Caenorhabditis elegans: one gene and its partners. The protein of the gene in region 3 purifies or fractionates together with the protein of the main gene of each other region. This does not show direct contact. Each region holds a gene or a part of one and is shown on either strand. Other genes may lie near its edges.

The links. Proteins that work in one complex are often made in the same cells at the same time.
Region 1: the proteins of act-4 (region 3) and dma-1 purify together in Caenorhabditis elegans (affinity purification with western blotting, with the first as the bait; one study listed by BioGRID). This does not show direct contact.
Region 2: the proteins of act-4 (region 3) and tiam-1 purify together in Caenorhabditis elegans (affinity purification with western blotting, with the first as the bait; one study listed by BioGRID). This does not show direct contact.

What each region holds. Positions count from the first base shown.
Region 1 is NC_003279.8:8,280,330-8,285,005, reverse strand, and holds dma-1 (LRRCT domain-containing protein), read right to left. Parts: upstream 3,038-4,676; 5' UTR 2,941-3,037; coding exon 2,737-2,940; intron 2,661-2,736; coding exon 1,829-2,660; intron 1,677-1,828; coding exon 1,492-1,676; intron 1,395-1,491; coding exon 1,266-1,394; intron 1,217-1,265; coding exon 1,109-1,216; intron 1,062-1,108; coding exon 708-1,061; 3' UTR 529-707; downstream 1-528.
Region 2 is NC_003279.8:4,407,696-4,412,716, reverse strand, and holds the start of tiam-1 (DH domain-containing protein), read right to left. Parts: upstream 3,029-5,021; 5' UTR 2,941-3,028; intron 1,847-2,940; exon of another isoform or gene 1,657-1,846; intron 962-1,656; 5' UTR 916-961; coding exon 848-915; intron 702-847; exon of another isoform or gene 616-701; intron 493-615; exon of another isoform or gene 423-492; coding exon of another isoform or gene 176-422; intron 121-175; coding exon of another isoform or gene 12-120; intron 1-11. Other genes in the region: T21E12.5 (Guided entry of tail-anchored proteins factor 1), read left to right, coding at 12-120, 176-422.
Region 3 is NC_003284.9:4,958,655-4,964,930, reverse strand, and holds act-4 (Actin-4), read right to left. Parts: upstream 4,311-6,276; 5' UTR 4,270-4,310; coding exon 4,213-4,269; intron 2,132-4,212; coding exon 1,397-2,131; intron 1,341-1,396; coding exon 1,162-1,340; intron 1,107-1,161; coding exon 947-1,106; 3' UTR 518-946; downstream 1-517. Other genes in the region: M03F4.6 (EB domain-containing protein), read left to right, coding at 321-425. UniProt on the Caenorhabditis elegans protein: Actins are highly conserved proteins that are involved in various types of cell motility and are ubiquitously expressed in all eukaryotic cells.

The DNA of each region.
Region 1 (4,676 bases), on a different chromosome or scaffold from region 3:
ATCCGTCATTTTTCATAGTTATGTCTTGTTCTTCGTGGTCATCTATCCAACTTAATTGGCATTGGCTTACTCCAATTGTTTTGGGTGTCACTTGGGAATCTAACGGATGAGACGACGTGTCATAACAGATTGTGCAATCTACATCCACGAATTCGCGCGCGTGTGCACATACATACGCACATCAATTTATTATTCGAATGGCTCATAAACTCATAAATTAACGAGTCCCTGTCGAACAACCAATTTTCAATTCATAAACGTCAAAATTTTGTGGCTACGGAGATTTTCCCGCGGAGTTTTTTTAAACGAAAAAGTCAACTCTCCTTCTCGAAACCTTCTCAATTATGCATTTGTCTTGGTGTGCATTTGACAAATGAGTTGACCCCCACAGAGAACCAGGGCGTAAAGACAACAGCCTCGCCGATTTATTACTTCTTTGCCGACGGATTTACGGCCGAGAAGAGGTGTCTTACCTCTTGAAAACTACTATTATGCTGCTGATTAAGGCTCCTGTCTATTTCATTGAACTTGGTATATCTACGAGCAGTTTATTTTATTTACAGACAAAGGGTTAAACAATTGAACACCGTATCGAAAAAGGGGGCAAAAATACATGAAAATGGGGCTGGGAGATCGAACGACTAGATGGATGCAAATAATCACACGGATTTAGATTTTTGAAACATTTGAAACTCTCAAAAGGATATTTAAATGCCAAAATAGGATGATCCAGGTTTTGGAGGTGCTGGTGGAATCAATGGAGGAGTGGCTTTAAATGTTTCAGTACTAACCAAGAATGGATCAAATGGTGGTGATAATGGACCATGTGTATCATTTGTACTCGAAGAGCAACTATGTGTGTTTGCCATCGTGAGTGGAGTTCGAGAGTGTTCTCGTGTCACATATGATCCTTTGTACTGTCGCTCACGAAGGAAATAGATGCATCCAAGAATCATAAGAAGTAGTGCGGCAAAAAGGAGAACTCCTGCGAGAAGTATGAGCATTTCACTTGTTTGCGTTAATCCATACCGTGCACCAAACAAAACGGCACAGTCGTTTACCTGAAGTTTTTAAATAGTGAAATTAATAACGTGAATGTGAATCTTACGTCGGTAATTGCCAGAACTGAATGACCTTCCACAAGCGATGGTGTCGCGCATCGGACATTATCGTAGTTGAGAATGTGTCTCATCGCATAACGATCTCGCATATGAACCTGAAAAGATGTTCGAATTAATTCAGAAATAAGAGAGGAAAAGACTCACTTGAAGTCCTTGAATAGCACATGAACAATCCCAAGGATTTCCATCTACGTACACTTGTTCAACATTATTTAGGAATGCCAAATCTGTATGCGAGAAGGTGTGGAATCGGTTGGCTGTGATGTCGAAAGTCTAAAGAAATCTCAGTGAGCAGGTTTCAAATGACATGCGTGTCCCCATATAAGGGGGTCCACAAACGCTTCGAATTTCGTATAGAAAATGGACATACTTTCACATTTGGAAGCAAAGTGTTGATATTGTCAGGCAAATAAGTCAATTCATTTCCGGAAATGTTCAATGAAATCAGGTGGTAATAGCGAGACGGCAGCTGTACCGGGATGAATTTGATGTGGTTGTAGGCCAGTTCGAGATGAATCAACGACTTCAATGTATAGGTCCATGACTCCTCGAAATCTAAAATTACAAATTAATTATGCCATCTCTAGTAACTTTGAAAAACCGTTCTTCAAATTTAAAAATCGGAAAAACTTTTAAATTAAAAACAATCTAAAAAGTTTTAAAAATCTAGTTTTGGGGTTATTTTAACTTTTGCTACAAAAACTCACTTTTCAAGAAATTTCCTGACAATGCAATCGAAGTCAGCTCTTCTTGTGCCCATCCCAACCATTTTGAGTCAAAATCATTCATATGATTGAATGACAAATCCAGATGACGTAATGGCATCGTTCGGAACGCATCCTCGTTAAACGGAGAGTCTTTCGAAATTCCGAGCAAATTGTGGGAAAGATCCAATTTTGAGATATTCGTATTGCAAAATGCACAGGCTGTGATTTCTTGAATGGAATTGTGAGACAAGTCGAGAACAGAAAGTTGAGGAAGAGATCTCAGTTCTTTAGTTGGAACCATTTTGAGATTATTTCCTCCGATTCCAAGTTGACGGAGTTGAGGAATACGATCAAGAGCCAGAGAATAAATTGATGAAAGATTGCAATGATTCAAATATAATTCATCCAATTGGGAAACATCTGTGAATAACTCATTGATGTGTTCAATTGGAATAGGATTCCGGTCTAGTCGTAGAACTCGAAGAGAATTGAGACCTCGAAGTAAATTTGTAGAAAGATCACTGATAGTATTATTGGATAGAGACAATGATCGCAGGGCTCTAAGATATGTGAATACTCCAGTTGGAAGAATATTCAAATGATTCGATGATAAATCCAATACTCGAAGTTTTGGCATACCACCAAAGTTGCTCATTGTCGCATGCTCAATATTGTTTGAGTGTAGATCTAATACTTCCAAAGATGGCAGTCGAATGGATCGGGACATTGCTGGAATCTGACAATTGATGAGACGAAGAACTCGAAGCTGTGCAAAACGGTTTATGTTGTCATTCCATCGAAGTTTGTTAGAACCAATGCGATTTGAGGGCGGCTAAAACAATTTATGTAAATGAAGGGATTAGATTGACGGACGGACGTTGTGGTTTTAGATCTTATCGTTTACTAACCTGAATATGAAGTGATCGAAGAGTCAACGGAAGTTGGTTTAGAATTTCCGCGTAAATCGTATCGTTTATGATTGCCTTTCGACAATAAACACTCCAAGACGAGTCATTTTGATCGCATTCACAAAGATTCGGACATGATGATGGTAGTGCAATAGAGCATAATACCAAAAAACTTAAAAATAAAAGCAAAATGTATGAAATCATTGTTCCAATTCGGAACAAAGAATCCTTGACTTCTCCAGAAGACAAACAACACAGCAGCTAGAAGCAGCAAACGTGAGGCAAAACACCATGAGAAGGCGAAGGGGACGGGCGGATAAAGGGGCGGGGCTTAAGGCGAAGGAGGGTCAACAGAGACACCACCCATGGGAAGAAGAAGAAGAAGGATGACCGGATAGAAGAGGAAGAAGCAATGTGTGCCTGACAGCACCACCTAATGTTGTTTTCATGTACCAGAGGGTGGCAATTATCACACCACTAAAAGAAAATCTATTCCCGCTTCAGGCGTTTTTGGCGTCGGGTGGTGGATGCTTGAGTTTTCTTGGAAGCAAGAGGGTGTTTGACTGAATATAATAGTTCTAAAAAATTTCAGAACCATCTCCAAGGACGAAGTTGAGCTTATCTATGTGAAGATCTATGTAATATCATTATCATCTGAGCTCAAGCAAAACTTTGCTCCTAAAATCTCAACGTCATGCTAAGGTTTCTGATGGAGATTGCATTCACGAACTTATCATATATTCATGAGGTTCTGTTAAATTGTGCAGCTCCACTCGCCCCCGTTCTCGATTGCACCCGGCTGTTCCCTAGATTTCTTCAATTTTCCCTTCAAAGTGATTTTACGAAAGCTCCAAATTATAGAGAATGCTCTAAAGTGATTCAAACGGGCATTGAAAAAAAACAAACGTCTTCCTGTAATAGTGGTCAAGGATGCCAGATGTGAAAGGGTGGGCATCACCAAATGTCAGCAGGCAGGCGCTTTTCGTTTACGACTTGCCCTTTTATTGGTGTACCCGTGTGTGTGTGTGTGGTAATAAAAGGTGATGGTGACTCTTTTCTCTGGATAGTGTTCATATTGACTATGGTGCGAAGATAATTGAGCAGAAGATGACGACGACAAGTGGTGGGAGAAGACAAGCATCGGAATTGTCGACGACATATGGTTCAAATTTGGTGGTAATTCATCCGTCATATCGAGTACCACAGAATACACTTGGCATCGAATAAAGGATCCTGTGGACAAATAATGAGCTGTTTTTTATCCGGTCAACCGAGGGGAATACTGTAAATTCAATTAGAGGAATACGGTACTTTACAGTAAATATCCATACCGTGTCATAAAAGCTTTACGAAGTATTTTCATGAAAAACGTTCTTATAAAATTATGCTTAATTTCGCATACTGATTCTTATCCGACGATTCGGTAAATCATAAAGACCAATGACTAATGCAAGAGACCTCTCAAACTGTATGTCAACACCCAATCAATCTCATTGCAAGATATTCCCGTCAGCATCCAAAACCCAAAGAAAGTGTCAAATTGCTCCTTCCAACACATTTTCGCTTATAAACTCATTAATCAAAATGTTCAATTTCCGTTTGAGATTGAATCTTTTCCGGGTTGTCGGCAAACTTTAACCCAATTCCACCGCATTCGTTGTCTTTCGCTCTTCCAAGCCCGCTCATCACAGACAGACCAATTAAGATGGTGTGAATCTCGGTGAGCACCCGCGTTCGGTTATCCTCGTGTGGAGTGACGAACACCACGGCTGTCACTATCGGAAGTGTGTGTTTGGGGTAATTTATCCACACACCGATTGACATGTCACACAAGCTCTCGCACTCTTTTCATTTATCACACCTGAAGAAAGTGTTGGCGTATGTGTGTGAGGATTTGCGCATTGTGTTGCGGTGCCCTTCAAATGTTTGATGTATCATTT
Region 2 (5,021 bases), on a different chromosome or scaffold from region 3:
ATAATTTCCAGCAATCCACACATTGGAAGAAATGCAACAAGTTGAAGACGAAGAAGCTCTGATGCATATAAAATGCTTCATCCTTTTATTGTGGTCATTTTCAGTTTACACTCTTATCACGTTAGTTTTTTATTTGAATTTCTACAGTTTTTCAGCAATTCCAAAATTTTTCCAGAGAAATGACAAAGATCATGCTGCTCAATGAGAAAATTCGAATTCTCGAATCAGTGAGACATCGTTCGAAAATGGAGTCAACTCTTTCACTTATTCGACAAAAATCATATTTCGACGCGTACGCCTCTGATTTTATTATTCGAAATCAGCAAAACGAGAAAATCAATACGGTTAAAGATGAAATGGATGCAGAAGAAATGGTACATCATTTGGTTCATGGAATGAATCCTCATAAAAATTCTTATTGAATAATTAATGTCGCTTTTCAGTTTTTATAGATTATTTAAGTTTTTTGTAATAAAGATTTGCGTTGATAAAGTTTAAATTTGAATAATTTAACTGAAAAACCTTTTTTCTATTATTTATAGCAGAAACTAAAATTTTGAATGTTTCAATGTAAAAGTTGGTTTTATTCTTCTCCACTGTCTTTTTTTCCGAAACAAAGTGTCTAGTTGACGAAAATTAATGACATCTCGGTCAGAATCTTGTCTATTTTTTGTCCCCCTCATCCAATCTACAATTTGTCAAATACCAATTCCCCTTCGCACACTCTTTTTGTTTATTCTAACCATAACTATAATATCTATCTTTTTTCAGAGTGTTAGAATAATAAACACGAACCAACTGTGTGAATGACAAGTAGTGATAGATATTTCTCAAAGAAAAAACAAACCTCAATGTAGATTCATCATTCGTCCAGCATTCGGCTTGTGAGCAAGAACATGAGAGGCGTGAGCCCATTCTGATTTGAACGCGGTTCTCTCTCACTGACAACAGAATGGAATTCCTGGAAAAAAAAAATTAGGATTGAATAATTCTGGCAAAAAAACTATGTTATTCTGTTAACAGCGAAGTTGGAAAAAGTTTTATATGTTGCAGAGAGAACAGAAAATATTCAAAAAATTTTGAAAATAGGCGAGAACAGGTATATCTACAAAAATGTGGATCAGGAATTTCAATTTTTCCATAACGAAAATTGTAATATATTTTTTATTGTTCTAATTAATTCTAAAAGCTTAAATCATTTTTTTTTGTTTAAAAATTTCAAAAATGTTCTAGAAAAAACAGCAGATTTTCGGGGATCCTAAAATGCGCCTGGAGAAAATCTTTGAGCCAGTGGAAACTTTTTCATAAATACAAATTTGTAAGCTTTTGAAAAGTTTCTGATAATCTTTTGGTAAATTGCCAAAGTTACTGAAAATTTGGTTTTTTACCGCATGTTTGAACGCCCAAAATTTTAAAAAATTAAAACATAACAGAAAAATTAAAAGCACTATGGTTTTTAGCTATTCCTACATTGGTACACTTTTAACAAAATGAAAAAATAAATTTCTTGATTATAATTTTAAAAACTAACAATCATCATAAGAAGATGAATGAAGAAAAAATTTAAAATTCAAAACTCATTTTGACCACACGAAATGGCTCGAAAAACAACAAACACTAAATTATGCTTCACACCAAAAATTTTGCGGATAGGCTTCTTCCCCACATCCCCCTTCTCTTCTTCACACCAAAAATGAAAAATGAGTGCCGAGCGGACTCTTGGTGCTCTTTTACTAAGAAGGAGCCCCCTCTTCTTAAAAGATGACACTTAATTTGTGACTAAAAGGAAACCCTGAATAGCACATCTGAAAATAGGATTTTTACGGGGGAAAGGGAGAAGTGGTGTTGAATGAAAACAATGGTTAAATACAATGAAAAGAATTGAAGGAGGAGAGGGGCTTTGACATAACTATTATGATTTGGATGGGGTGTGGCAGACAGAAGAAGGAAGAGAAGAAGTCATCTGTATGCAAATTATGTAAAAACGTGTCATCTTTTGAATTTAACTATTTTCAGATGATATAAGAACACACCTTGAATTATCAATAGGCGTTCTAATCCACTTGGATTATGAAATTAAGATTTATAGCTTCCAGGAACTATACACTTTTTTTCAAATTTTGAAATATAATAGAAATGTCAAAATCTCAAAAATTCTTATACCAGTTAAATTAATTTGAACAGCAGATTTCGCAAGGTGGCTTGAAAAAAGGAGAATCGACCAGTAAGGTTTCGCCTCCGAAAAATTTGGTTTTATGTAGACACATTTCTCATTCAAAATTTAAAAACATAGATTCTTAGGTGATCATTGTATACAGTTCCGAATGACCGCTGGCACAATTATAGTTGACTTCAATTTAAAATGAGGACTTTGTATAAATACACTCAACATGACCAAATTTCATAAATAAATACTTCAAAAAATTTTGCCAAGTTTTGGTAAATTGCCAACTAATAGAACAGTTTGAAATTTAAAAAAATTAGAACATTGCTGCAGGTTTGAGCTTTTGAAATTTTCAAAAATAAATTATTTAAAAACGTAATTAAAAACGTATTTAAAATACAAATCTCATAGAAATTTTTAATAAAAGTTCCTAGGAATCAGAAATTGCCATTATTTGGCTGCTATTTCAACAATTTTTTTAAGGAAAGTTTCACTACATGGTCGAGGCTTTTTTGTTTGATTTTCTACCACGAACTGTTCTGAAATTAGCTTTCAAAAATGACTGCAACAATTATATGAAACCGACTTTCGAAAAACTGCACGTGGTCTAGTTTTCTCTATTTTGGCTACGTAGAAGCTCAAAACCTTGGCACACCAAACTGTGAGAACTTATGTTTTCTATGCTAGAAATATTTTTTTAATGGTCATGTAGATACAAAGTGGTGAATAAAGTTTCAATAATTTATTAGTACAATTCTACGCTTCCAATTTCTCACCGTATTTTCGATTCCTGACAAACTGAAACTGAATCATCAGCGTCTTCTTTTTATTTTGCTTTTCTCTGATTGTTTCTTGTTTTTCTCTGTAAAAAATATAAATTTTTAGTTGTTTTTATTATTACTACATACAGAAAGGAAAATGACGCGGAAAATGCGAGCAGAAGAGTGAGAGAAATTTTATTGGAAGAATAATTACTATTTTAGATTAAAAAAAGAATTAGGGATTAAATGAGATAAATGTAAACTTCAGTGAATTTGTTCAAAAAATATTTTTTTTCAATCATGTACCGTTTTCAAATCTTTTAAAAATCTTTCAAGTTTCCTACAGGTTAGTGCAAACTGCTTTTTTAAAATAAAATTTCGATGAATTCAAAAAAAAATTTTGATGACTAAATTTATTGAATTTAAGTTTTTAAAAAAGTATATGAAGAACTCCAAATTTGAAGAAAAATTCTCGAATAAAAGCACTCAAAATGCCCGTGGGGAAAGATGTGTAAATAAGCAAACAAAACTCGAAAAATAAATTGAATTCCAAAATTTTCCAAGAATTTTGCTCATTTTCGAGCTCTCATTGGCACATACACTTGTCTTTCAATCAGCTTCAGCTCGAACCAAAAAAACTAGTGCTGCAAATGAGTAGAAAACAAAAAAACAGAGAGAGAAATGGAATTAGGGGTGTAAGAAGAAAAAAGTAAACGAGAAGTAGGGGGTGGAACAAAAATGCAAAAAAAAGAGAACATTTGTCCCCCGATGGGAATTGGAAAGAGCAAAACTGAATTTTCAGTTGAAGAATTTTAAAGTGAAGAAGGCGAAAAAAGTTAAATTGCAAATCGAATGGGTTCAATTTCTGTTGAGCCAGAGAGCCACATACTAACGCGTTTACGAGCTCGTTGAGCTGTGAACAAAAACATGTTAGTCTCTTTTATATACCTGTTCTGCAAGATGTGTTCAATGTAGGAGGTTGTAAAAAATCAATCGATTTTTGCTTCAGAGAAATCTAGGCCATTGGAAAACTTTTAGGAAAAGTTCCATTTGGAAAAATAGAAAATTTTTGGTTTTGAGACGAAAACAACTGTACAGCAGAAAAGCCAAAAATAATGAAAAAATATATTTTATTAAAAAATTGTAATGTGTGCGGCGAATTCGACAAGTCCACATTTTTGAAATTCGCCGAGCTCGGCAAACTGCAAATTTGGCAAATTTGCCGCACACCCCTGTTGTACAGTTAGTTTACAAGGTTTTTGTCCGGGATTTTGAGAATTGGCATTACAAAATGCTAACATCGCTAAAGAAATTAAATTTTAAACTCGCTCAAAAATTGTTGAAACTCCTTGGAATACGAATCTGCAGATTTTTAGGTTAAAAAGTAATAAACATATAGTAAAAACTTGACAATAGCAAAATTCGGGTATGAAAAATTTTTAGGCAACCACGTTTTGTGCAAAGATATGCTCTTCTAGGTGGTCCATGATTTTGTGAACTTTTTAAGCTAGAGAAAACTCGGCCATCTGAGCATGTAAAAATGGCCCGCCATGTCTCTTCAAATCTTCATAAAAATCAGGAAACATGCCGAACCAAAAAACATGAAGATTTATAAATCCTAAATACAATTCTCGAGACCACTCATTGAGGACAAAATTACGCCGACACCGCCCCGGGAGGTGGTCAAATGCCATTTGGATTGGCGGTTGTGTAATTGACATGATAATGGGGAGAAAAACGTAGAAACGAATATCCAGCGAGATTATTAGCAATGATGCAGAAAACGACGATGAAAAAAAAAAGAAAAGAGCGCGGCGCGGGAAGGGGCAAAAAGTTTTCGGGATGCAAAGATTCTTTTGGTGAGATATGGAACACAAGAATTTTGGATTTGACTGACTGCGAACTTGTAGAATATAACATTCCTGGAGATATATAGGAAGACAGGTAGGTCAAAAGTTTTCAAAGCTAACTCTGAAACTGAAGGCAGAAATTGTCAAACTCTCAATAAAGGATTGCAGCCTCATCTAGATTTCTAAATGAAAATCGTATTTTCAGAAAGAGGGCCTATAACATATGTTCCTTTAAAAAATTCAGCG
Region 3 (6,276 bases):
TAGATACCTTATTTATTTTATAAAAATGCTATATTCATGTGGCAATGTTTCGACTTGTAGAAAATGAATAATAGGCTGCGTCCATATCCTGTTTTTTTCCGTTAAAAATATTTTTTCAAACATTGTATGATATATTTTTAATAACATACTTGAGTAAAACAAAATGAGACACTAATCATAAAAGCGGATCAAGAATTCCATGAATTTTTTTAATTTTTGTTGTACATTTTGTGTTCAATTCTTATTTTAAACTCAAAAAACAACATATTTTTCTAAGATTTGTTGTTTTAGTTTAAAAAAACTCACCTTCTAAATTACAGGATCAACTACTAGGAGTCCGTTGCACAAATCCAGATGATCCGCTCAGTATTGGCTCAATTTTGGACCGCGTCGGAGACATCTTCGGAAACAAACAAGGCAAATAATCTGTGTTCCGTAACAGCTACTCACTTCATCTCTCCTCCGGGTTGAATTTTCTTTATTTGTATTTTTTACATTAGATAAACTTGATCAATTTGTCTTATTAAAAGCTTTATTATGAATGTGGCTCAAATAATGAGCATGATTCAGAGAAAAAATGGTTTAAAATGTCAATTTTGTAATGAGAAAATGGGGGTCATCGGCAGTAATAGGGTACAACAACAAAAGTGATTGCATTAAACCTCAACTTCAAACCAAAGATACACAGAGAACCTAGTTATACATGCCTAGATTACTACCGGAATAGTATTGAACAAATACAAGAGAAGTTACCAATGAAGATTTGGGTGAGAATGGGAAGCATAATGCAGTCGGCTAGAGAAGTTGGAACTATTACTAGCAATGTACACGGAGAGGGTGAAGAAAAAAAAAAGAGAAAATAAAAAAAATGTAAAAGGATGGTCTGGATGGGTTGCGGGATAATACGAACTTCTTTTGAGCGTTGTGGGTGGAAGGGGCAAAAAATTTAGAAGCACTTGCGGTGGACAATCGATGGGCCGGACTCGTCGTACTCTTGCTTGGAGATCCACATCTGTTGGAAGGTGGAGAGGGAGGCGAGGATGGATCCTCCGATCCAGACGGAGTACTTGCGCTCTGGTGGGGCGATGATCTTGATCTTCATGGTGCTGAAAAAATAGAAAGTAAATATTAGTTCTTGAAATCCATTTAAGTTAAACTTACGATGGGGCAAGAGCGGTGATTTCCTTCTGCATACGATCGGCGATTCCTGGGTACATGGTGGTTCCTCCGGAAAGGACGGTGTTGGCGTACAAGTCCTTACGGATATCAATGTCGCACTTCATGATGGAGTTGTAAGAAGTCTCGTGGATTCCGGCAGACTCCATACCCAAGAAGGATGGCTGAAATGAATAGGAATTAATTTTATGTTTAGCTAGAGGTGCAAATATTTTCTTACCTGGAAGAGAGCCTCTGGGCAACGGAAACGCTCGTTTCCAACGGTGATGACCTGTCCGTCAGGAAGTTCGTAGGACTTCTCGAGGGAAGATGAGGAGGCAGCGGTGGCCATTTCTTGCTCGAAGTCGAGGGCGACATAGCAGAGCTTCTCCTTGATGTCACGGACAATCTCGCGTTCAGCGGTGGTGGTGAAGGAGTAACCGCGCTCAGTGAGGATCTTCATGAGGTAGTCAGTAAGATCACGTCCGGCAAGATCGAGACGGAGGATGGCGTGTGGGAGGGCATATCCTTCGTAGATTGGGACGGTGTGGGTGACACCATCTCCAGAGTCGAGGACGACTCCGGTGGTACGTCCGGAAGCGTAGAGGGAGAGCACGGCCTGGATGGCGACGTACATGGCTGGGGTGTTGAAGGTCTCGAACATGATTTGGGTCATCTTTTCTCTGTTGGCCTTTGGATTGAGTGGAGCCTCAGTGAGGAGGACTGGATGCTCTTCTGGGGCAACACGGAGCTCGTTGTAGAAGGTGTGATGCCAGATCTTCTCCATATCGTCCCAGTTGGTGACGATTCCGTGCTCAATTGGGTACTTGAGGGTAAGGATACCTCTCTTGGACTGGGCTTCGTCTCCGACGTAGGAGTCCTTCTGTCCCATACCGACCATCACACCTTGATGTCTTGGGCGTCCAACGATGGATGGGAAGACAGCGCGTGGAGCATCGTCTCCGGCGAATCCGGCCTGAAATTATCAATTTTTGTTTCAATATATCCCATGATGACCCCTAGATAAGAAATGAATACTCTCGTTAGGTCTTTCAAGAATGTCCATTATATTTACATTGCAAAGAGAGAAGGTTGCGGCGAGAATTCGGTCGAGATTTGGCAGAGCGCAGTGAGTCCGCGCACGAGCGAGAGCAGTGCAAACACAAAAGGCCCATTCCCCTATTCTCAAAATGCCCTCTCTCGCTCTACTCCTCTAGTTCACGGTTGATATCGAATGAAGTACTTTTTCCGAGAACGCTTTGGTGTGTGGTGAGCGGCGACAACGCTCAACAGATGTGTGTATGTCTCTCTGTGTTTGTGTGTGTGTGTGTGTGTGTGTGTGTGTGTGTGTGAGAGAGTGTGCCCAGCGCTCGCTTACCCCCGTGTTGGTCGCAGGGGCCTGCTGCTGCCACTGGCCCCGTTTTTTTTTACCCACTCAGATCCATTTCGCAATCCAATTGCGCTGTTGAATAATGAGATAGGAAACGGGGCGAATGGGAGGCCATCAGCAGCACTGAGAAGCGGGGCATTCGGGCACTAAGACAGATTTCGAAATGCATTGAGTCATCGTCTACACACCAAGAGCACCAGATGTGAGCGTGTCAGTTTTTTGATTTCAAATGGAAATTGTGGAAAATTGAATTAGAATGGGAAGGGGGACATTTTGATGATGAAAGTCCCTGATGACCATTGCATTTGTACAATCCTATCCCGGTCACTTACTCTCTCCCCGTTCATCCTAATCGCACTTTTCGCCTCCTACTACTTGGCCTCAATCGGACTCTCATGTCTAGATTGCGCATATTCATTTCTATCAATCAATATAGTGAGGATTGACAAAAGGTGGCATTTCTTGGCCTTGACAGTCCGTCCGTCCCTTCTTGTGTCCTATCCGTCTCCCATCCGTTCGGCTGTTGGCGTGGTGGTAGTCATTCAACAAGAGAGGCCGAATGGAGGGAAACCGCCGCCCTGCATACAGTGATGCGAGGAGGATACAAGGGCACACTTGACCAACACACTGTCAAGATTAGCGATTAGCGGCAGCCTCTTTTCTGACACATATATATAAATAAATCCGGGAAGGGTTCGCCAATACCATCGGAATCTCACACTCTCAGACACTCACACACATCTTGTTTCCTAGGGCCACAAATTAGCCAAGTAGCACTATTGAGGGTGGTGCGGATAATTGATGTTCGCGTTGCGCTTCTTCGTTCCCAAATTATACTTAATGAGGATTGCAAAGTGAGGTGGTTGCAAATAAAGATACCCGTCGTGGATAGACAAAAAACTACTGGCTTTTGACGACGAAAAAAATCGCTGTTCTTGTTGAATGGTTTGCCTCTCTTTCTATCTTATGGGGTTGCTAATCTACTGGCGAAATCTCTATTCAACTATTGCCACTGCCCTCTCGGAATGTGCATTACACTACTGTTGGCTGGTCGTGATATATCCCATTGTACGAAGGAAACGTCGCGGACGTTCCCTCAACGGACGGCCTCTCCTCACACACCATTGCAAATGCGCATCGGGTCGGGGTCGGGTTGGCCCCTCTCCAACAATACTCTACATACACTAAAAACATATCCTTGCGACGATTCCTTTTTTCTTCCCCCCCCTTACATATTCTCCCAGTGGGATGAAAAAGGGGCGCGTGGCGCCAGATTTGAAAATGGGAGGGAGCGAGTGACCGCGCGCAGGTGTTGACGGACGATATGAATCACCACCCACTACTACTACAACTGTTGCCATAATTATTTGCGAAACAATGCAAATCGAAACGTTGAGAAGGAATAGAAATTCAAAATCCTTATGCGGCAGGGAAACAACTTTTTATACAATGCAATGGAATTATTCCTAGGTTGTTGGAAATTTTAAACCCAAATGAAAAGTAAATTTGAGACATGGAGTTGGAATAAGCGCAGTTAAAACTAACAAAATAAAATTTTCCAAAATTTCTAAATCTTATATTCAAATGTTTCTAGAGCAGTTAAGATTGCATAATATTGTTTTAAACCTTTGTCCCTAATTAGAATTATTCAAATGTTATCAACTCACCTTGCACATTCCGGATCCATTGTCCACCACAAGAGCGGCAACCTCGTCGTCACACATTTTTTTGGGAACTGAAAGCGGGTGCCTAGTGAAAAACCAGTGCACAACTCTGCCTCTCGTGGCCTATTTATACTGCTGCACGCGACGCGTCCGCGCCGCTCTTTGCCATTGGTCGGCTGGCCCCGCCCAACCGAATGAGGGATTGAGGGAATACTGGAGAGCGGCCATCCGACAGACGGTCCTCGGAAGGGCGGGACACGGAGGGAAAAACAGTGTGGTGGTGGTGTCCTGGAAAATTTGAATTGGGGGACCGCGTCGCGCCTTCCCGCCTCGAAGATGAGGCGTTCGGCAGAGCGCAACGTGAGAAAAACGCCTAAAAATGTTTTGTAATTATGAAATTGGTCAGTGAAAAGCGAACGGCCGTTCGGTTTTTAAGGGATAATTTGATAAGGAACCGTAAGATTTTAATGTTGCAAAACAATTGCAGACGTCGTGGCACTGCAGACTAAAGATGTTCTCAGAACTCTTTTCTTGCCATACTTAGTGATATATTCGAATCTAGAATTAATCTTTTTGTCATCAATATCAGGAAAAGCGAGGTTTTTTAACTGTAAGTTGGTAATGAAGGAACCGTATTTTCCAATATATCGATGGTCTCTAGTTTTATTAAGAAATGATTCAATGTTCAAATGTAGAAAAAAATTTGACACGTATTTTGTCAAAGTGGAGCATGACGTGCCAGTGTTAAAGGAAAATTCCTCATGTTTTCAACACTTTTTGTACTTCAAAGTATATCTGAAAATGATTTTGTTTCAAATCACAACAAAGCAAAATTTCTGAAAATTGTATTAGTCATCAATTTCTATTCTTGGATATTGTCACATGTTCGATTTTTGAATTTATATGATTCAACAATTTGTTTTTTTTTTCTGTATTCCGCCGGAATATAATCTTTGAGCGAGAGGGTTTAGATTTTTTTTCTCCAAAAAGTTTGAATTGTTTCCATTGAATTAGCTGCCCTGCTTTCTCGGTGTTACACTGCAAGTTTTGCTTTCAACTGCACAATGCGGGGGAGATGAGAAGCGGGAAGAGCGGAGCATCATCAGGAACCATCAACAACATGTTACCTCTCGGGGTCCAGTTTTATTGGTTGCGAAGAAAACGAACAAAGTGCCGAGAAAGAGGGACCTGATTAAATGGGTTCGCAATTTAATTAGTATCACCCAGAAAACTCATTGAGATTCTTTTTTTTTCAAAACATAGTGGTCAAATTGGTTTCCTCTTCCCCCCCCCCCCCCCCCCTCAACCGTGCGCGGTGTTCTCCCAATGTTTCACATCCAACTTTTCCCGAATAAGAACAAAAAAATAGTTTTCCATTTCGTTACAAAACATGAAGCGTGTCCTCTTTTGATGAGTAATCGTCGTATAGAAAAATATGAGAAACAATGACGGAAGGCAAAAAAAAGGAAATGTTATGTTTAGAAATGAAGTAAAATGTCACTGATGATTCAGAAACGGGGGGCATCGACGTTCTGTTTACGAATGTGTTCCACAGCTTTTTTTTGTGAGAACGATTGACCCAACAAGGGATCAGATGACATCACTTCATGCCCACCATAAAGCACAAATGCACTATAGGTTCTTTCAATACACTATGGCATGTTTATACACACTTGCTGTCTACTCTTCATTCTTAAGAGCACATTGTGTGTGTGTGTGTGTGTGTGCTCGTTTCAGACTTTCTCAGAATTGGTAAACTGGAAAATTTTGAACACCGCAGCTTGAGTTTACACTAACACAATGTCAAAATTCCCAAGGTTTATGAAAAGTCTGAACTTTTATGATCACCAATGTATATCAGAGGTGCGAGACAAAAATTGAAAATGTCAAGAAATTGCCAACTTTCAGTTACTGAGCCTTAAGTATCATTTTAATGGGGTTGATGTTTTAGAGAAATTCAAATTAATCTGAAATATTTGGAAATTTCAAATTTTTACAAGATTTTAGACAAGAAAAATTTCAACTTTGCAAACATTGTCCCACAATAAATCTAGAAATTTGAAAATT